Schizosaccharomyces pombe: one gene and its partners. Each later gene encodes a partner of the first gene's protein in a complex. Each region holds a gene or a part of one and is shown in the gene's direction. Other genes may lie near its edges. The genes, in order: dad2, ask1, dad1 and dad5.

Evidence for each region.
Region 2: dad2 (region 1) and ask1 share a complex: the UniProt entries of both Schizosaccharomyces pombe proteins name them as parts of the DASH complex.
Region 3: dad2 (region 1) and dad1 share a complex: the UniProt entries of both Schizosaccharomyces pombe proteins name them as parts of the DASH complex.
Region 4: dad2 (region 1) and dad5 share a complex: the UniProt entries of both Schizosaccharomyces pombe proteins name them as parts of the DASH complex.

What each region holds. Positions count from the first base shown.
Region 1 is NC_003424.3:2,783,771-2,789,463, reverse strand, and holds dad2 (DASH complex subunit Dad2), read left to right. Parts: upstream 1-3,171; 5' UTR 3,172-3,315; coding exon 3,316-3,451; exon of another isoform or gene 3,452-3,482; intron 3,483-3,779; coding exon 3,780-3,928; 3' UTR 3,929-4,305; downstream 4,306-5,693. Other genes in the region: protein Pop6, read right to left, coding at 87-374; dynein light chain Dlc1, read right to left, coding at 950-1,165, 1,226-1,336, 1,386-1,394; porphobilinogen synthase Hem2, read left to right, coding at 4,534-5,523. UniProt on the Schizosaccharomyces pombe protein: Component of the DASH complex that connects microtubules with kinetochores and couples microtubule depolymerisation to chromosome movement; it is involved in retrieving kinetochores to the spindle poles before their re-orientation on the spindle in early mitosis and allows microtubule depolymerization to pull chromosomes apart and resist detachment during anaphase.
Region 2 is NC_003423.3:1,560,960-1,566,933, reverse strand, and holds ask1 (DASH complex subunit Ask1), read left to right. Parts: upstream 1-3,282; 5' UTR 3,283-3,369; coding exon 3,370-3,386; intron 3,387-3,441; coding exon 3,442-3,589; intron 3,590-3,667; coding exon 3,668-4,426; 3' UTR 4,427-4,608; downstream 4,609-5,974. Other genes in the region: septation protein Uds1, read right to left, coding at 1-531; protein meu25, read right to left, coding at 1,164-3,032; protein trafficking protein Pga2, read left to right, coding at 4,899-5,297; app1 (actin cortical patch protein), read left to right, coding at 5,812-5,974. UniProt on the Schizosaccharomyces pombe protein: Component of the DASH complex that connects microtubules with kinetochores and couples microtubule depolymerisation to chromosome movement; it is involved in retrieving kinetochores to the spindle poles before their re-orientation on the spindle in early mitosis and allows microtubule depolymerization to pull chromosomes apart and resist detachment during anaphase.
Region 3 is NC_003424.3:3,086,136-3,091,340, reverse strand, and holds dad1 (DASH complex subunit Dad1), read left to right. Parts: upstream 1-2,000; 5' UTR 2,001-2,015; coding exon 2,016-2,288; 3' UTR 2,289-2,557; downstream 2,558-5,205. Other genes in the region: taz1 (telomere length regulator), read left to right, coding at 1-104; Smc5-6 complex non-SMC SUMO ligase subunit Nse2, read left to right, coding at 644-808, 1,056-1,178, 1,294-1,758; Rho family GTPase Rho4, read right to left, coding at 3,297-3,446, 3,503-3,637, 3,754-3,957, 4,065-4,111, 4,173-4,214, 4,270-4,303. UniProt on the Schizosaccharomyces pombe protein: Component of the DASH complex that connects microtubules with kinetochores and couples microtubule depolymerisation to chromosome movement; it is involved in retrieving kinetochores to the spindle poles before their re-orientation on the spindle in early mitosis and allows microtubule depolymerization to pull chromosomes apart and resist detachment during anaphase.
Region 4 is NC_003421.2:1,668,280-1,673,683, reverse strand, and holds dad5 (DASH complex subunit Dad5), read left to right. Parts: upstream 1-2,821; 5' UTR 2,822-3,078; coding exon 3,079-3,363; 3' UTR 3,364-3,740; downstream 3,741-5,404. Other genes in the region: SPOM_SPCC417.03 (uncharacterized protein), read right to left, coding at 1,320-1,441, 1,633-1,681; DNA-binding transcription factor, nutrient sensing, zf-GATA-type Gaf1, read left to right, coding at 4,807-5,404. UniProt on the Schizosaccharomyces pombe protein: Component of the DASH complex that connects microtubules with kinetochores and couples microtubule depolymerisation to chromosome movement; it is involved in retrieving kinetochores to the spindle poles before their re-orientation on the spindle in early mitosis and allows microtubule depolymerization to pull chromosomes apart and resist detachment during anaphase.

The sequences.
Region 1 (5,693 bases):
AGGGAATTAGCGTCTATAAAGTATGAATACAAATGAAAGAAGAATATTTTTGGTAACTTTGAAAAGAGTAAAAATTTGCGTATTATTTAGCTGTCATGCTCCAAAATCTGTAGGTCGATCTTCAACTGAGGAAGTGATCTCCGATTTCCGTGTATCAAAGTGTCAGAAGACTGCTCCTCGCTAGGAATTAATTCAATCGTTTGATTAAAGGGAATTTTCTGCTCGTTACAACGACGTTTTAATAGTTCAACTAGACTTACTAGTTTTACAGTAGCATCTCCTTCAGCCACAAAAGAAACTTGTTTTTCTTTGACAAAAGAATCCCACAACTTTAAAGAAAGTTGCTTAGCATTTATACTTTTCTCTATTATCATAGTTTATAAGCAAAAGCCTGCATGGCGTTTAGTAGGCTAATAACGTGGTAGTTAGACAGGTGCTCCCAAACATTAATTAATAAATTACATAGTTGAAACAACATTTTACTGCCTTGTAAAAAGATGTATGATTTTAATCTTAAAGCAAAGGTATATGATATAACAAATTTAAAATCTTTTTCGCTATTTTTATTGTAAGTACCTCAGTTTCTTGCTAGTCTTAGAGAGTTCAAGCAAAGTAAAGCTCGATCAAGCTAATACTGACACGATTCAACGTCCTTTGTAACCTTTGGAAAAAGGACGAACACGAATCGTATACACACCAAAATGCTTATAAAATACGAACATGTTACAGAGCGCTCACAAATGTCTGAATTTTAAGAAACGTAACTATCGTAGATTGCATATAATAGGAATAAGTAGAAAAGAAGAGTAGATAGTAAAGTTAGTAAATTGCAAAGTTAAAGGCAATTTGCATCTAAGGCAAAAACTGGTACCAGGGGATAAAAAGAGGGAATGAAACAAAGAGGTCTTTGAAGATGATCATGATTGGAACAGTTTCGATAATATGGTAATTAAATGGAGATCCACATAATGCTCAATACTACGTCAATAGCCTCACCGCTCTCTTTGATAGTAGTCATTCCATCCTTTTCACAATTCCAGCAAGCAGCGTGAGCTGCGTGAACGCCTCTAGAAGGATGATCTTCGGGAAGCTTTTGTACAAGAGTGGAACTAACAATCCATTTGTAAGACTGGGTTTCCTTATTCAAAGCATTTAATACGGCATACTAAATGAGACATAAAGTTAGCTACCATACATAGATATTTGTAAAATAAAATGAACTTACAATAACAGATTGATTCATTTCAGCTGTTTTGTCTCCGTCATATTCGGAAGCCTTCAAAACCGGCTGAGCAGCTTCTAGGCAAATTTCTTCAAGTTTTTTGGAATCTATAGGCTATTTTCATAATCAAATTAGTAAACGAATCGCGTATTTGACGACTTACACAGCTCATTTCGAAATGGGGTATTTTGATGAGTACAAGGAGGGTACGCAGTGAGATAAAGACACCCACAGCTAGTACGACGTTTAACGGTGACAACCCCATCGATACAAAGTTCAACGCGAACATAACTCACGTTAACATTTCTTTTTATTGTTGATTTCTTTTTGCTTTAAACCTGAAGTTAAGTAAGGATTTTTCGCTTACAGCGAATCGTCAACTTCACGTTGGGATGAATGAGATAATTCAAATAAAGCATCAAGTATTGCTTTAAAGGAAAACAGCGTTTATTTCTATTTCTTACATTCTTTAATTAATACCAATTTGAAAACAGTTGATGGTTGAAACATCGATAATTGATTTCGAAAGAAATGCATAATGATTTTGGAAACCATGTCTTCCTCTAACCGTAATAATTGTATCGAAAAAACTCATAATTACACATAATTACTGGTGTTTGGATTACCAAAAGACATTAATGTGTGCTTTACGCTTTTAACAATACTCTTAGCAAGTCCAGTTTCAGTAATGAATTGAGTGTGTTTCTTTGAAGACGGGCCGAAGGAAAAAACAACAATTTAAATTCTCTGAACTTAAAGTGTATAGAATCTGTTTTTAGTTATCGAAATGTTAATTCAGCATGAAGGGAAAGCGATTGTTTTGCTGTTCATAGAATCCAAGTATCAATGTAGCGAAATCATCCAAATCTTTAACTATTTGATCATTGAATAAAACTACAAGATAATTTATGTTTAGTATTCCTACCATTAGTTCTTTCAATAATTTTACAAAAATGGAGAAGATCTCATCGGTACTGCGATACATAAAGATGCTACTACCCAAAGATTTTAAATCAATGATCCTTTCAATCCCCTAACCCTTTTATCCTTTTCCTTTTTTTTCTTTCCTATAGATTATTTACTGACTTTTATTTACAGGGACATTCTGTGATATAACGGTATTATAACTTGTTTAATTGTTATATAAATGTAAACGTTATTGCCGAAAACCATGTATAAAGTGCGTTATTCTAAAACTGTATATAGAATATAATAACATACTGCGCGAAATTTAATTGTGAGATCGAACAATTCAGTAACTGAGTATTTGGAGTAATAGTGAATTTTTGCGAAGGAAAATACTCGATTACCATGTAAACAAGGGTTTGATGTATGTTAAAAAGTTGTTAATTAGAAATGGATAATAGCCACTCTATTATAATTTGTTCTAAAAAAGTTGGGTATTCTTTAACGACCCGTTGGAACCGATCATTGAAGAAACTTCAATAGTGGATGAGACATTTTATGAATTTTTAAATTAGTCAAATACGGTTCAAATTTTAGAAAACATACGTGGAAGTTGCATCCTGTCTAGAATAAAAAATTCATTTCCTTATGTATCGGAACGTTGACAATCTTGTTGACCAAAAGAATATACTATCGAACCCAAATCTTAAAAGTCTTTTAAGCCCATTATACCTTGTGTAAAAAAAAATAAAAATAAAAATAAAAGAAGAAATAGTAGAGAATATGCACAGTTTTGATCCTCTTTAAAACTTTAGAGGGATGAAGCAATGCATACTTACTTAGTAAAATATGGATATAATAAGCTAGCTAAACTTGACCCATTATTTGAGTAATTATATTCACTATTCAACATAGTTTCCTAAATTCATTATTACTTTAAATTAATGAACTAACTAATTTATTAAAGATGAAAACAAATGGTTAAAATTGAGTAAAATCAATCATTATATTTTTTGTTAGTCTCTATTATCAACCTCTTTATTAGTAATACATTCCGAGATATAAAATTCCAGAAACGGAAATTATTTGTTTTAAACGTATAATTACAAAACCGAAATCGCCTTATATGGTGTAGGAGATAAATCTAGTAAATTTCGTACCTTCTTCTACAAACATTTGGCGTGAACATGCTTCAAGCAAGGATTGAGGAAAAGCAAAAGGAATACGAACTAATATGCAAACTAAGAGATTCTTCTAATGATATGGTTCAACAAATAGAAACGCTTGCTGCTAAATTGGAAACTTTAACAGATGGAAGTGAAGGTATGTTCATTACGAGGAAAGTATATAAAAGAGCCTTGTCACCAATCTGTTTAAGTGCTATTCATGTGAACAAGTATAAATATCATTACATTGAGAAAAGCAAAGAAACAAGTGAATTGATTGGATCTGCAGGATTGCAAATAAAAGCAATCATTTGCCGACATGTCTCTAAATGAACTTCTACCTCTCAATAATTCACCTAAACGTAAAAAATATAATCTGTTTATTTATTTATTTTTTCTATTTTCACTACTACTCATACATGCTTGACGACTCTTTTTAATCCATTATAATAAATGTTTGACACTCAAATCACTAACAAAATCAGCTGTTGCTACTGTTCTCAATAATTGGCCCAGCATTTTTGAGTCAATACAGATAGCATCCCAACATTCAGGAGCTTTAGTCCGAATTCCTCCTTCTACTTCAAATACCAACGCATCTGCTACGGAGCAAGGCGATGTTGAAGAGGTATAAAGACTTAAATACTCTTTTTAATTTCTCACTGAAGTAGAAAAGGCCAAGAATTGGTTAAAATAAATATTATTGTTCTGTCCATTTATTCATATTGTTTCTTCTATTTCAGAATTGGTAAAGCCGACAGCAAACCCAAGTTCCAAGTATCTTCACTTCCTAATGAAATGGAGAATGAGATCACCTTGTAAACTAAATGATATCTAAATTTTTCATTTGGTCATTTTCTTTTGGCGTTCGTCCTGTTTCGCTTGTTTGAATACTCCCAGCATTCCCTTACGACAATTAATTTCTTCAAGGACAAACAATTTATTCAGGAGTGATACTATTGTTATGTAATCAACAAATATCGTGGTCCGATGCCCGATTTTTTAAAAAAAAGTTAAACTTATTTATCTTAACCTTCGCCAACCTCTCGCCATCTGCCACTTACCTTTTTAAAAATATTTCTTAGGAAATCTTGTTGATCTTCCGCTAGAACTTTTTTAAATAACCAATAAAAGGCGCTTTTGCTGGTCCATTAGTTCCATTTGTCACAAATCTGCTTTTTTTACGCAGTTTTACATCTTTAGGAAAAATCAAATAAATTTTGTCAGTTAGTATTTAATATGCCTGTTGATATCAGTTCTCTTTTGCATGCTGGGTATTCAAACCCGTTGCTTCGTGAATGGCAAGGTGTACGTCCCATTACCAAGTCATCTCTAATGTATCCTATCTTCATTTCCGAAATAGATGATGCTAAGGAAGCCATTGATAGCATGCCTAATCAATTTAGATGGGGTGTTAATAGATTGGAAGAGTTTTTGGGTCCTCTCGTCAAAAAAGGTCTTCGTAGTGTAATTCTGTTTGGTGTCATCGAGTCCAAAAAGGACTATTGTGGTAGCATGGCCGATTCCGAAAATGGACCAGTTATTAAAGCCGTTAAAGAAATTCGTCACCTTTTTCCGGAGCTGGTTGTTGCTTGTGATGTTTGTCTCTGCGAGTATACTGATCACGGCCACTGTGGTCTGTTATATGAAGATGGCACTATCAATAATGCTAAATCCGTTGAGAGAATTGCTGAAGTTAGTGGAAATTATGCCTTGGCAGGCGCTCAAATAATTTCTCCTAGTGACTGCATGGACGGTCGTGTTAAGGCGATTAAGCAGAAACTTGTAGAGTTGGAACTGTCTCATAAAGTATGCGTTATTTCCTATTCTGCAAAGTTCGCTTCTGGTTTTTTTGGTCCTTTCAGAGCTGCTGCTAATGGTGCCCCAAAATTTGGTGATCGCAGCTGTTATCAACTTCCCTGTAATGCACGTGGCTTGGCCAAAAGAGCAATTCTTCGCGATGTTAGAGAGGGTGCTGATGGTATTATGGTAAAACCGGGAACACCTTATCTCGATATTTTGGCAATGGCTTCTAAGCTAGCAGATGACCTTCCTATTGCTACTTATCAAGTTTCAGGCGAATTCGCCATTATTCATGCTGCTGCTGCCGCTGGCGTATTTGAATTAAAAAGACATGTGATGGAAACCATGGATGGCTTTATGCGTGCTGGCGCTAACATAGTTTTGACTTACTTTACTCCTGAATTATTGGAATGGCTAGAATATTAAACAAAAAATAATGCGAAATCAATCATCTTCAAAATTATCATGATTGAAAAATTATTTTGTTTATATTCTTTAATGGTCTAGAGTTTCACTTATGAAATTGTTTTTCGAATCTGCGATTACCGGTTCTTGTTTATTAAAAATTTTCGTTTATAATCTGTAGCAGTTATTTA
Region 2 (5,974 bases), on another chromosome or scaffold:
CACAGCAACCATATGCTTCAATAGGTGCATATAAAATTCTGCAAGTTTCCTTTCAATAAGCCATATCTTAGAAGAAAGTTCTCTAACTCTACGAGAACATTGTTCGTAATGCTCTATCGTACTTTGTTTATGTTTTCCTTTTTTCTCCTTAGCTTGGGCAACCATCAAATTCTTAGCAGCTTCTCTAATTTTGGCTTCGACAGCCAGTTTTTTTATAGAAACACCAAGTAATCCCTGCAGGTTTTTTATTTTCTGTTTTATTTCTTCAACGTCTTTTCCGGAAAGGTACACCCAACCTTTTGCATCTTTAACAGCAGACGCAACTAAAAGGGTTCGCATTTCCTCCTCACCTGTAGATATAGACACATCTTCAGAACTGCTAGCCTTTCCTACATACACGAAAGTGGATAAAAATGGATTGACTGGTCGTGTATTAATTAATATGCTTGAAGAAGGTGGTTCAGGATTCCCATATTTCTCAATTAACTCAGGTTCATATTCATCTGTACTTAAACATCCATGAAACCCCATTTTTGGGTAAAATGGGTAAATGTAAATGTTGAATCTTTTGTTTGTTTACAGCCGCATACGCTTTATTTTGTATGAATTTCGTTTCCATGACAACTAACATTGAAATGTAAATAAACAAAGCACCTAAGCCAACCTATTATCACGTTGCAATGATCGGTCGCTAAGCATTTCATTCTCCAGATTATACGACTATTAAAGTCCCTTTGCAATTTTAGGTTTGTGTATCGGTGGGCTCTGCTGTTTGTTATTTATCGACGTTGAACCGGTATTTTGATCAACATTCATTATGGTGTTTGCAAATAATCCACATTACTTTTTATATGTTAAAAGATTATTTAGAGCATACTTTAACGGTCCTACACTTACATTTATTACCCTATGTGACGAATTCGACCTACACATTTTTACTTAGACCACCTCAAAAAAAGTGATAATATTTTCAAGTATTAATAAGTCAATATTTAGTATATTCGTAAAAACTTTTGTCAAGTTCGTATAGGTTTGTAAATAATGAATGTGCAGATGAAACAAAATTTCGCTTAAAAGGTACACTACCATCCTAGAAGAGATTCCTAGGAACCTCAACACTGAATGGTCGATAACATGTGATAGAAAATTATGTGACAGTACGTTTAAACTTGGTAAAGTAAAGCCTCGTTATCATCAAATGCGACTTTGTTCAAAAACCCTTTTCGTTGTACAGTGCCCAATTCTGGAATGTGCTCAACAGACTTTGCATAATCTAATAAACTATACTGTTTATCGAGATGAACCAAATGTGGAAATAAATAGCCTACAATTTCTAGGTGATGCATGATAAAAAGCCAGTTTTGAGCTGTACGACTAGGTGCTGTGTTTAACAACTTAATAGTGTTTAGGTCATAAGTTGTTAATTCACGATCCACAGACAAAAACGTTTCAGCAGTTGAAGTTTGAACGCAAACAAGGTCAGGGAAACGTTGTACGCAGTGGAAACTAGATATTGGCATAACCAGCAACTTCGGATGACCGATTTTTGAAAAAATAACTTGCTTCTTCCAAAGGGCAAGGTTGGGGTCTAACTCTAAACTAGCAGAAAACTCCGCTAAGTACTTCCAGAGTAGATCTTGTTGTTGATGAGGAAATGAATCGAAATGATCTAGTTCACAAAGGAATTTGCATGGGTTGCTGAGAAGCTCGTTTGTATAATTAGTTTTTTCCTCTTCAGACCAAAAGAAATCAGCTTCCCTTGTCTTTGCTAAGGAGCTTAGCATGATATACCGCTGCTTATGTGCTTCTTTGGGTAAGATCAATGAAATAAGTTTTGTGCTGAAGTAGGATAATTCCCTAATGCTAATGGAATTTTGTTCTTCCTTTTCATTTTCATTTTCAGGATCGTTCAGTTGAATGAAAGATTGCCCAGTATGTTCACTGTCGAAACATAGTAGCAATCGGAGTAAACGTTCTTCTCTACAGCAACGAAAATCCCAACGTGACGAGACCCCTTTAAATTGAAGGACACTAAGTTCCTTTTCTGTATGTTCATAATTGCGTAATTGCAGGATATCGCTTTCATCAAACATAAAGCAATACTCCGCTCTTAACGTGTGTCCAATAACTAGGTTTTCATCATTAGCCAGCAACCCGTATTCATCCAAAATTTGCTTTCTTTCAAATTCATTACCCAGAGAATAGTATGGAGTTCCCAAATCAGTCATAAAGGTCAAGTTGTCATGAGGTTCCGTTCCTTCATTTTCCTCAATACTCTCTAAAGTCGGCACTTTCTTTTGACATTTACTCTTCTTGAACTCTAGAAGGTATTGAGAATATCCGGCGGGATCATCATTTTGTTCTTTTTCGGAAATTTCAACTGTTTCTACTTTTTGATTTGACAATTCTCCATTGTCAACATAAACAGATTCTGTTTCAACAGGATCACTATCAGGAGATAGGCGCTCTTTTCTATTTTCTTCATCGACTGATGAAATGGCTCGAAGGGCCAGAACACGCGGTCCATCTGGAAGACGTTTCTCATGTTTAACGACAAAGCCAGAGTTGGGAGATCCCATCAAAAACTTCCTAACAGAAATCAAAAATTTAGGATCATATCCATCAGTATTTGTTTCCAAGTCGGTTAATACCAAGTTGCTATTGACCTCCTCAGAGCTTCCAATAACCTTCAAAAGTGGAACATATGATGGAGAAGGCGCTAGTGTCTGTAATGAATCCTGCGAGTCATCATGCTCATTAGAAAATCCCAAGTCGGTTGCTTTAACCCCTAATTTATGAAAAATTTTCTTGGCAAGTGCTCCCATTTCTTGCTGTATATTTTCTAAAGATATTTTGCTTTTAGTTGAGTCAATCGTTTCTTTTTCAGAGACATTGTCAGAAAACTCCTGCTGGACTTCCTTTTCAATGTTAGTTTCATAGATGGGATGCATAGTCGTAGTATTATCAGGGTTCGTCAACTCCATATTTACTATACTATCTGAAACAATATTCTCTCCAAAGATACTACTCATTTTGGATCTTGAGGATGCTGGCAAAAGACAAGTTGAATGTTTGTTTACTATGGATCATTTGATCATTGCAGTCTGCATTTAGTCCACTGAGGAAAGTAAACAAAACTTTAAAATTCATATTTATTACTCAACAATGATTGTATTAGTATTATCTTGAACTTACAAAAATCTCACTGTATATTGCCAATTTAACTTGTTTACTTTACGAAACATCGCTAATAATGGACGCTAGTATACCTACACCTCAGTTGCAGTTCGCCATAAATTTCACCATTGAGAGTTTCTATACTAAGAAATAATATTTTCAAAGTTTTTATGAGTATTAGATGTCATTCTTATGAACAATTTGGAACAGTATGCAGTAAACTTGTCGCGACTGTAGATAAACATTCTCTAACAAAAGAATTAGATTAGAACGATTGGAACAATCGATTACTCTAGCACTTTACGAAATTGATGCAAATTTTTCTAAATGTCATCGAACAGTGACTACCAAAATCTTGCCTATCGTGGAAAAATACGCAAAAAATTGTAACACTATATGGGACTCTTCAAAAGTATGTTCAATGGCAACTGCCACTCATGATTCAGCTTGTAATTTGTATTATTTTAAGAATTAAGCTAACAGAAAACAGTTTTGGAAGCAGTTTTTTGAAGCAAGTGCCAATGTTTCACTTTCGGGTGTAGAGGAACCTGTTCCAGTAGAATCCAATCCAAGCGATCAAGATGTTATGTCTAATTCTACAGAGGCGGACCTACAGCTGCACACAAAGAATGAACATTTGGAAAAGAGGCATTCTTTTGTCGGAAAATCTGATTTTCCCGATGCAGCTGTACAAGGAGATAATACAAAAAACGAGGATTTTGTACAGTCCACTCCTAAGAAGATGGATGTCTCCTTAGAGGATATTTCGTTAGATGATGCAGCTTTGACCCCCATCCCGGCAAGGATGCAGACTCCGCTAAGAAAACCAGAAAATAATCCTCATACAGGTCGTAGTGCCCTTCTGCATCGCGTTTTAGATACAAATTGGCAAGTACAAGTGACTCCACGTGAGCCTAAGAATTTGCAATCTCAAGAAGTAATGGATATTGATTCTTCTCCTTTTGTATCGCCTTCTCCCATATCAATGAAAATGGACATGCCTTCACTTAACGATAGAAACTCTTCGCATGCTCTTTCTTTATTTGCAGAATTTGAGCATGAAAGCTATGATAGCATTAACCCAAGTGGAATGTCTCCACCTAAAACTATCCAATTCAGCCCGCATACCATGGGGGTGGGTTCTTCTCAGCAAGCCAACGAGCGAAGCCTGTCTTTGCAGAGGAAATTAGAAACCTTGAATGATTCTAATGATAGTTTTGTCAAAGAAGAAGATAGTTGGGAACTCTGATAAAGCACTGCTGAAGTTATCACCTTCGTTTCGCCTTTAGTAGTGAACCTTACTTTCGCATTTTTTCTATTTATTTTCTAAGCACATATGTCTACTTCATAAAATCCCACCTTATATTTATGTTATATAATTTTTTATTTACTGTACGTTCTATTTAATTTGGAAAATTCTTCTTTTAAGAGAATCATAAGTCACGGTATAAATACTGTAAACCAAGTAAAATTTGTATGAAAATAATTTTAAAATAAACTAAGAAAGCAAATAACTATAAAATTTTTAAATAAATTAGTATTATAGCCTAATTAATAAATCTTTTTACAGCATATCATTGAGAATATACGTTAAGACGAATAACGAGGTTTTAAAAATTCTAAAAAAGTCTAAAGAATTTTAGTGACTTGGTTAATAATAGTTTGCCTGGTTGAGCAGACAGGTGAACTTAGTATCCACCACTCTTTTTTGTGCAAGGAAAATGGGGTTTGACGTTGCAGGCTATTTACAATCATATTCATTGAAGGACTGGATTCGAATTATCGTATATGTTGGAGGATATATGTTAATCCGGCCATATTTGATGAAGTTGGGAGCCAAGATACAGGAGAGAGAACATAGAAAATCTTTATTAGAAGGCGAAGTAGATGGTACTTTAGATCCGGAAATGACGCATGGCACGAAGCCCAAAGAACATGGAGAATTTGACACGGATGATGAGGAAGAAGAAGAAAATCCTGATGCCGAATTCCGTTGGGGTTATTCAGCACGCCGCCGTATTCGCAAACAACGTGAAGAATACTTTAAGAATCAAGACAAATCTCCTCTTGATGCTTACGCTGATGATGATGAAGACATCGAAGAGCACCTTGAGGATTAATTCTAGTTGTGAGATAATATTCATTACTCCAAGCACTTTAGAAAACTTGTGTCATTTAGTTTGTTAATCATTGTTTTAATTTCTTTGTGAAAATTTGATATCCTTTTCTCTTGAAACCGTGACTGCATGGATGAAAGCAAAAGCTAATTAATTGAATGTAGGATTAATAATGCAATTTGAGAGTGCATTCTTTTCCTACGAGATCAACGAAAGTCCTTTGATTGTTTCTCCTTTTTCTTGCATTTTTAAGTCATAATATCTTTTCGTGAGCCAAGCTTTAATCAATCCCCTGTTAGGTTTAATTTCAGCGTTTAGATCAATTTATTTTTCTTTCCCACTCATTCCAGTATTTTGAGTTGAAATATTACGTATTCTAAATAATCCTTAAATGCTCTAACAAAATTTAAGTATTTGCGGTAATATTACGATAAACGCTATTAACGCATGCATATGGGTTCAAATTTGCTTATTTTGAGCTTGACATGTTACGTTTCGGGGTGGGCTCTTACCGTCCATGTTTCGATCATTTGGACGTTTGTTTAGGGGCTCTGAAGAGAGCCCTACTATCAATGATTTGACTTCAATAACCATTTATCCTCAATGTTTCATTAGTACTGGTAAAGAGTACGGTAGTGAACCCAAGCACATATCAGTTCATGTTCGCGGTTGGGTTTACG
Region 3 (5,205 bases), 300 kb from region 1:
AAAATGTTACTGTGGGCCAGGCCTATTGTGAACTTCATAAAATACCTTACATAGAGGCAACTCCGCCACTTTTACGGGAAGAGCTTGTTAATTATCAATCTTAATTTTTCGTCTCCGGATAGAGTTTGTTCATGATTGCTTTTTTAATGAATAATATTGACAAGACTCGGATAGTTTTGTTAATCGTGTTTTACTTTACTACTAATCTATGGAATATTTTGAAAATAACATAATTTAATTTATACATTTCACGGCCTTAATCATCCTTTATTGGTTTATCATATTGAATAGTTGGTTTAGTAATAGAGGTACTAAAAGTCAAGCGTTAATTGTCCGAAGTATGCATTATAAATTCTAATTCCAAATGAGAATATTTCATAACCCATTCATTTGTATTAAACGTGACAGTAAATAAGAATTTATTTAGTCTTTATACATATGCCATCAATCTTCATAAAAACGTACTGGAGTTTAAATTTTAAAACGTGGTTATTACCCTTGCTTAAAAAACATTCTTTTTTTATTTAAGGAAATAAGTGTTGTGGCATTTAGTTTTCATATGCAATTAATAGGTTTTCAATCCCAAATTGCGTTGTCTACTAATTAAACGTCGTAACTACTTCTTTCTCGAATGGAATCGTAAATGAGTGAAGCACAATTAAAAACTTCCTTGGAGGCTTTAAGTCAAAATTTATTACCTGGAAACCAAAATCATTGCAGTTTCGACTTCCAATTGAAGGAAATTGACGATTCAATTAAACAGGTGATAAAATGTGCTCTAGTTGCTGCTGAGATAAAAAATAATGAGGTATGTGTACCATTATTACGAAAGATAATGGAAAAAATTAATATGAATTGCTTTTAAAACTCGAAAGTGGTGTTATGTCGAGATACAGTTTTTTAAAAAGAAGTTCGCTGTACAAATATACATACAAAAACATTGTTTAACTAATATTTTTCTTCCTCTTATTTCCGGCTATTGAGAGAGAGCCTAAAATAGACATAATATGACATGCTGCTTACTTTATGACTTCTGACTAACACTTGCCTTTTAGTGTTTGGACATGCTTGATAGCGGGATCCGAGAGCTGTTGGATGCAAAGCAGAGATTGTTATTGATGCAGCAATCGGTGGATACATTGGCTAACAAAACCAGTGAAAATATAAGTGATTTTGAAGTACGTACCACGGAAATGACTTTCCTACTTTTTCTATTATATGTAGATGAAGTAAAAACATCAATTTAGACGTATTTTTTTACTGTTTCATATTCAATTGTTCTAACAAAATTAGAATAAAAGTTTGTTGGATATTTATACACAAATTTTTAAGGAACTCATTCAAGAATACGAAGAAAAATCCGACTATGGTAAATATGGCACACAAGGAGAATACATTGAATTTAAAAAAACCATATGGCATGAGCAAAATACAGACGGTTCTGACTTTCCTTCTATGAAAACATTTTTTAATGTCATGAACACTGAAGAACAGGAAGCAGATGAAGTGATGGTATATTCAGCTACCTTTGATAACAGATGCCCTTTAACTTTACAACCAATTGTTCACCCAATATTATCGACAGCCTGTAATCATTTTTATGAAAAAGATGCTATTTTGTCTCTGTTAAATCCAACTTGTGTATGCCCTGTTGTAGGATGTGAAGCTCGTTTACAAAGGTCTTTACTTAAGGAAGATGAGATTCTTGAACGCAGATTACGCCGCGCTCAGGAAATAAGTAATTTAAAAGAAGCTTAGTCCTTTTCTATTTACATTGTAGTACTGATCCGGATTTATTATTATTATTATTATTATTATATTTAATGTATTTGTTTATTCCAACTTGTAAATATGCATAACATGTCTCTTTTGACTAATATTCTATGCTCGTACGGAAGCTTCAATTTTGGCATTTAATTATGAAGATAGTTAAATCTAATATAAGATCTACTTGATTGTAACCTTATGATAAACTTTGGCTCATGCTTGACTTTGACACTAGCCATTAACATACCATGTCCTCAGAAAATATGGATATTACTGAAAACATACAAAATGAGCAAAATAAAGATTTTGATGATATAGATTTTGAAAGAAGGCGTCGTCTTTTGACCTTACAAATTTCAAAAAGTATGAATGAAGTTGTGAATCTTATGTCAGCTCTAAATAAAAATCTTGAAAGCATTAACGGTGTTGGAAAGGAATTTGAAAATGTCGCGTCTCTTTGGAAGGAGTTTCAAAATTCAGTGTTACAGAAGAAAGATCGTGAAATGCTAGATGCACCTTGATGGTCGTTCTTTTCTAAATGTATTTTCATTGCCGCTAAACATATGCCTTAACGCAGTTTGTTTCAAAGAATTTGCATATTAAATTAAATTATTAGTTATTATATGTTTTTTATGAATCTATAAATTTAATAGCGTCCTCAAAAATTGGTCAAAGGTCAGGATTCTTTTAAATTAACTTACATATTACAATACACAAACCTTAAGTCACTTCATTAATAATGTGTTTGTATATATATATTAGTTTTTAATCTTCCTATATTCTTCTAAAAGCTGCCAATTTTTAAATAAGCCGTTCATCGTCTGAGAGGCAGAACAACTGTTGATGTTAATATTTGCATAGTAAACTTTTTCTTTACTACTATACGAATCCTTTTAGAAATTACCATTTTAATGGTATTATTTAAATTATAAAAGGGGTTTAATGCAGTTTAGCATAATAAAAAGGTAAAAGGAATCATAAGTATTCATTTCAATATCTTCTATATAACTATCGTTTTATTCACGACATGAATACCCTGAACCAGTCAGGGTTAAAAAACCGATTTTCAAAGTTTCGGACAAATATAGGCATATTTGAAGTAAAAGTAAAAAAAAACATTAAGACCAATTGATTTTTGCTGACATATATTCAGAATCAAACAGATAACGTCTTAATAAACAAATTATAAATCACAAAATAGCTCCAATAGTCGATAATCCATCTAAACCATATTGGCTAGTTAAATACCTGAAAAGATAAAAAGTTGAGATAGGAGCAAAATTCTGAAAAGGAAACTGCTACACAATATGCTTAGATTAAAAGAAAGCATACAAGCATAATGTCTCTATTGCAGCAAACGTTTGGAGTATTGGTTTATATGCAATTAGCAATGTTAGAATGCGTAAATAAAGCGTTTTTCTTGCTTCTTATGTTCCAACAATCTCATCAAATGCTATACAAATAGGCGAAGCAAAAATGAAGACATCAAAAATGGTAAGATTAAGTAAATAAAGGCCATGATCAAGATATTATAAAATCACGCAAGACTTTTTAGAAAACGAAAATGATTTTTTTATAGTGAGGCCAACAGCAAGTTGAAAAACTTCATTTACACCAGTGTTTTCTTTGGCAGAGCATTCGACATATGGAGCGTTCATTGATAAAGCAACGGATTGAGCCTAAATATGTTAAAAAAAATAAACGAAAGAAAAAAGTTAGCTTATCATTGACATACTTGTTGGTAGGTTACTGGTGTTAAACCCTGGGTTCTTAGTACTTCAGTAGCATTCCTATCTTTGCGTAAATCCGCTTTTAGCCCGACGAGAACGATGGGAGTTCTAGGGCAAAAGTGTTGAACTTCAGGATACCACTGAAAGAAAAATGTTAGAAAATAATATGAGAAAGATGAAATACTAATGGCTAGACGCAAATGACATTGAAGAAACCCAAAGCTACGTTTAGCAATATAAATTATAGAGCACATACCTTCTCCGTAACGTTATTCAGAGAAGCCGGACAATCAATTGAGAAACACAACAAAATAACGTTGCTATTCGGGTAACTTAGAGGACGTAAACGATCATATTCCTCCTGACCAGCAGTATCCCACAAAGCAAGTTCAATAACTTTGCTGTTCGGTCCATATGTTATATCGGTGATATAATTTTCAAACACTGTAGGCACATATCTCTAGCATGATGTTAGAAATCAGTATACTTAGATAATTCAAGTGAACTGAGTACATGAATCATATGAACACTGCACTTAAACAGTTATTGTTCGATCTATTGGCATACCTCGGGAAAAGTTCCGCTTGAGAATACAATTAAAAGACATGTCTTTCCTATACATCAAGCATTAGTACATTAGACCAGCTGTCATTCACCTATATTTATCAAGCATACCACAACCGCCATCTCCTACGACCACAAGTTTCTTTGAAGTCTCTGAAAAATTAGCAAAAACTTTAAGATATTTGAGAAAAAGGAACAATTGAATTACCTGACTTGGATCCACTCTTTTTGAAAGCAGACATATTGCCTTTGTTGTTGTTAATGTTTGCTTACCAGCTGAGATTGCTGGTATTTCCAAGCTAAACATTGCCATGACAACGCAGCACGTAAACAATAGGTAAATAAATATATAAAACAGTAAACGGAATATCCGCGATGAAACATATTTAAATTTATCAAGTGTGCATGGAATTTACGAAGGACTATGCCGGTTAATTGTTTTAATTGAAAAAGTTAGGTTGTTAGCCACCAAAAAAATTATAGGTATATATACCTGTCTATTTTTATTTTTAGGATTCAATGGACATTGCAAAGTTGTCAATTGTTGAGTCTGCCTAATAAAAGATGCTCGGTGTATTCATTATCATTCATATAATCCAAACGTTCTGTTTTCAACTAGTTCTACAAGCCTACATTTCAGGTTGCTAGAAACGTGTACATTAGTTAGATAAAAATACCTAACGAAATTGAAATATTTACCGCCAAAAGTATATATGGCAGGCTAGTCTAACACCTCATCGTTAAGTTGGCGACTCAATAAGTGAATTCATCAGCTTATACTAATTAATAAAGTAACGGGTTTTGGGAACTAAATTATTGAAGTAAAAATACATAATAATTAATTGATTATTCTACTTGGCCTTGAAGTACCATAACCAAAAAATTAACTCCCAAGGCGAGACTCGAACTCGCAACCTTCTGATGACCATCATAAGAGTCAGACGCTCTAAACCGATTGAGCCACTCGGGACTTGCTTGTACTTTAACGGATTAAATCTAATTTACGCATTTTCTTTAATTCACTTAAATAAGTAAGAAATGAGAATGAATAATAAAAATAATGTTCTGGCTATTTATTAGCAACATTCTAATAACTTTTGAATGTAATGTTAGCCCTTAAAATTTATAGATTACTGTTAGGTTT
Region 4 (5,404 bases), on another chromosome or scaffold:
AAATGAGGAGAAATCGATTACGCAAAATGAATTGATAAGCACAACATTTGACAGGGAATGAAAAATGTTCGTTTAACGGGGGTGGGATTTTAAAAATTTCATTTTTTACGCATTCAGGTGCTGAGAAAGACAAAACGTATGGAAGATCGTTAAACGAAGTAAGAAAAGAGAAGAAGAGAAAAGTGATGATTTGCAAAGGCTTCTCTAATGTTTCTTTTAGTATGGATACCTCAATAGAAAAAGTCAAAGACCCAAAAAAAAAATAAAATAAAGGTCCTTCTGATGAACAACAAAAACTTTTTTTTACCTCTATTCTTTTGCTCGATAACAAATGGAATGCTTTAGATTTCGAAAGACTTTTATTAATCATGTTATCAAGTGTTCCTCCATCATCATCTTCCTTGTATACGGATATGTCGAGGAATGTAATAGACTGGGCCAACTAAGCAAGTCATGTTTGATAGGCGATTTCTCAGCCAAAGTGGGTAGACTGTATTTGTATGGTTTTGATCATTTTTGGTACTAGTCAGTTTCATGTAAAGTTTGGATTTAATTATTGGGTTTGACTCAAATCTCAATTTCATATTTGTGTTAATGTTAGTTTCATTCATATACTTTCGTCAGCATTTGTTTATGAAATTTCATGTTTCTTTTGCGAGCTCTTTTACTACTGCCCCATCTAGTCTGCATCCGTTCTCATTATCAAGAAATACTGCGGTACTGGTGCGAGGGTAGATGATTATCAAGGTAGGATGAAAATCCGCTCCACAAAGTTGTTAGTGATAAGTGGTAAAAGACGGTATGTGTTTGAGGTAACCATAATCGCCAAGATAGACAAGATGCAAGTGGAGCATTGTCGGCGTTAAAGTTAGTATTTTGATTTGTTTGAGCTATCAACATGAGTAAGTGTGCGGCGGCAGGCGAGTCGCAAAAGGAAAAAAAAAAGCCTTCATTTAGTTATCAGAGCATCGCCGACGTATACCTTTTTTCCATTGATAAATTTGTGTTAGTCAGTGCAGTTGTTCAACACAATCGGTCCTCCGTTTATCGGTAGCTCTTTTTTGCACTTTGACAAAGCACAAAATTCGTTTACATGCAATCATCTATTACGGATGTAAATGTCCGTCATAATCAAAGGAATGCCAACAACGCCAAGTGAAAGCGAGATGAGTTGGGAAAATAGGATCGCAATTTGACATTCCTACGTCTTCCTACGTCTTTCTTGGAATGAAGTAATCAACTCTTCGTAAATTAGCAGGGACGAGGAAAATATGCGACTGTTATCATTTTTAGCGCAATAAGGATAAGAAATGAGTGATTTAGGAAATAAGCAACTGGGAGATATCCATTATCACTTCCATAAGCGATAATGATAAACCGCAGGAAAAACACGTGTGAGCATGAAAAAGGGTATATATACATAGACGGAAAGGGGCTTCATCTTTTCTTTTTCTTTTGTTAGGGGCGTGGTGAATGGAAGTATTTCTTTGTTTTATGGGGAAGCGTACAAAATTGTGAAACGAAACGATGTATGTGTATGGAGTGTAGGAGTCATTCATTTTCATGAAAGAAACTATAATAAAAATGGGGTATATGATTAGAAAGGGATGAGTGAATGTTTGAAAAAATTACTTATAAAATGGTAATGAATATGATTAGAAAAAGCGGTATGAGGAAGCATGGTTACTAAATGAACCAACTTGATTATATAAAAAAAAAGAAACAAATTAAAAACTAATTTTCATCTAACTCAGGAATTCCTCCTTTGAAAATAGCCAAACATTAACTAAAAAAATTAAAAAAAAAAAAAGTAGAAAAAAAATGTAAATATTACAAATACTTCCCAAACTCCCATAAAGCATTCTATGACGATTTCCTTACACCAAGCAATTTTCCTGTTGGATTTTATTTGTCTCGACTGGTTTGTGTATCCCTGTTTCCTTTCTTTTGTTTCCAAGAGAATCATTTCCAGGGAATTGATACATTTGTCCATGCTAAGATAAAATCCATTGTTCGGTCAACTCACTTCCGATATATCTGAAACGAAAAAACAAAACCTGATTAGAAAAGCTATATGTTTTCACATATAAGAAGACTATATGTCAAACCCCATCCTAGCGTCGATATGAAATGGAACTCTGTGAAATGATAGATGTGGGGGACCTAAAAGATAAACCCCAGTGTAGTGAAATCTCGATGCTTTTGAAACTGAATAAAACCCGAGGATATTAAGACAAGTAGTTTATTAAAAAAAAAGGTTTTCCGATCGTAGTTGAGTAAAGTTTGAAAATTCAAACAATAATTAAAACAACGGATGCACATCACGCTGCTGCGTCTTCTCTTGCACGGACATTGACTTCCGTATGTAATTTGTCTAACGATCGTGCTCTTTCCATTTCTTTTTTCCTTTAAAATACTCATTTGCCTATCTTCCTCATAAGATGCCTAGCATGTCGAGCTTACGGAGAATTTTTATTTCCTTTGATTTGGACAAAGCACCTCATCCAACATGATTGTGATCGGAGCTTTGGAGCACTTTTCATCAGTTCCGTCTTCATCCTCCTTCTACACTTCCATGGAAATTATGCAAAACTTGATAATTCCATCCTTACCAATAATTTTGCCTATTTCCACGGAACTGACCCGAAAAATTTAGCAAAAGGAACGATTTCGGTATTACTTATTAGCTTGGAAATTATGTCTCGCTAAACCATATAACGAAAGTTTGGTTTTTTATCAGTAAGCGAAAAATTTACCGTCCCCCTTTTCCTTCTTGTCAGCTACATAAAAGATAGGTGCGCTGCGCTGGTCGCCTTTTTCTGCCACTCTTTCCACGCTATTTTACGCTCTTATTCATTTTTGAGGAATACTAACGTCGGCCGGTATTGTTGGAAATCGCTGCAATTTGTTAAATTGAAATACCACTCAAGTGGGTAATGGTCTCCTTTAATTGTCGATACTGAAGGTTGATTGCATTTTAGTGCGGTGTCTTAAAAGCTGCACTCGCCCATCACACACGCGTTTGGTTTGTTTACCTTCCATCTACCTGTCTGCCTTCTTTCACTTTCACCTTACACCATGCGTCGTTCTACCATTGTGCCAACTAGTCGAACAAGCAGTTCATCTCCATCTCCCAGTCAAATGAAAAGCTTTCAAATGAATCGTTTGGTGGACCAACTGTCCAAGTTGCAATCCAACATGTCTCATTTGGAAAACCACTTACATGTTACCGCAATTCAAGCAGAAGCCATCCGACGTCTTGGTGCTCTTCAGGCCTCGCTTCTGATGGCGTCTGGTCGCGTTATGTCCGAAGCGAGGATTCAAAAGTCTTCAGATGCTGTGGAAGAAGACGTTCCTATGTGAGTCTCCAACTTTTTTGATGCAGACCTCAAATGACAATGATAAAAAGGAGAATACAAGAGACAAAGTGCCCCAATGAAGGAGAAATATAACAGGAAAGGAAGTAGGAATGTGCTCTTTCTTAATTAGATGGGGCTATTTCTTATTTTACTGCAACAATGCGGTATTTGGGGCTTCTTTCAATATGTGGGTGTTGGAGTTGTATCAACTATGCATCCGGAATACGGCTTTTCGGCATTTTACGCTATGGGAGTTTTGCGACTCTCGGGCTGCACTCCCGAAACCTATGTTACTGCATTGTACGATGCAGTTCTGTAAAAAATAGCAGGCTAAAAGAGGGTGTTCTAGTTCGTCTAATAAGTGATCTCGTTCATTGGTCAGCTCGGTCGGCTAAGTAACCAAGGGAAACTGCAAAAATTGGATACCAGAAATGATTGGTCAATTGCGCTTCACAAAACAGTCAGTGTACCAATCATATGGTTTTTATTTGAGATAGCGCACAATCATTGGATAGCTAGCTAAAAAAAGGTAAAAGTGGTTCCTTTCGTTAGGCTTCTTTATTTTCACCTTACGATTTACCGAAGAGAGCTTCTTCGACCTCGCTTAGATGGGTGTGAACAACGCCGTCCCTTTGCCAACCTCAACGAAAAAAGAAAAGCAGGTTGTACTAATTTTAAACGTTTCAAACGATTTTGTAAATTGATTTCTTTAAGCTTTGGCTCCTCCTTATTACATACCTAATCAATAAATATCTGTTTTCTTTTGCAGTTTCTTCTTTTTTTGCTCTCTTCCAGGGAAAACGGAAATTTGATTTGAGGAAGCCATAGCGCCACCATTCCCCAATCTGTCTACAAATTACTTTTTTTTGTTCCACCACACCTCTGGATTGTATTCTAGCTTATATCTGTTTTATTTTTCTATATTTGTTTTGGTATTTTAGTTCGTTTTTGTTGTTTTATTTCCCCTTTTTAGATCGTTTTTGTTTTGGGGTTCACGTCTTTTTTGTTTAAAGTACCTGTTCATATCAAAGCAACTTGAACTTCTTGCTATTTTTACCTTCGCTCGTGTGGTTTGCACAATCATTTCAAAGTAGTACCTAACTAAACAACGTTGTTGGTGTGTCTTGGTATTCACTGCCATTTCGTGTTTTCCATTTAAAGAAGCTTTCTTGGTCCTAGCTTAAGATTTCCTGTTTTTTTATATCTTACCTTATATTATTATTTTTTTGTGATTTTTTACTACAACTTTTTTTTTGTTTAACGTTTGAGAGGCGATCTCTTTCGTTCATTTCATTCGTTTATTTTTTGTTTCGGTTTTTTATTCGGAAACTTCCCTTTTTCTTTCTTATCCACATTTCAAGCTGGCTGAAGTTACTGATTTTTTGGGTATCATTTTTGGATATATCCCTGCTTTGTGATTAAACATTTTTTGCATAAAACCTTACTTATGGATCTAAAGTTTTCCAATTTTTTCAAGGAAGCGGAACATCCAGCACTTGTCAAAAAATTTGACAAATCTACCACGGACGAATCTTCCTCCAAAGAAGATTATTCCACGATGTCAGACCTCTGGAAAATGTTTTCCAAGGCAAAGTCGGAACTGTCTAATGGTCGTCGTGTCGAGAACTTGACATGGCGTTTAATGTCTATAAATTTGCAAAAGAACTTAACACCAAATGGTGATTCAAATACTTTAACCCCAGACACTTTCTCTGATCCCACTGCCCCTTCTAGTGCTCAATCCGTTCCTCCTACTTCTTCTGCTGAAACCACTGCCGATAACTCAGATACTGAAATGAAATTAAACCCAATACCTGCATATAGCGTACCTGCTGATACCACTGGAAGCTCGTTGATGGAATTTAATTATATTCAGCGTCGCGTGCGTAAAACAAGCTTTGACGAGTCTACTGCAAAAAGTAAAAAGCGCTCTATTGCCGATTCTCATTTTCCAGATCCCAATGCTATGCAAAGACCCCATGATTTGGAATCCCAACCATTTAGCTACCCAAAGATTCATGCTTCTAATTCTTTTAATTTCGTTA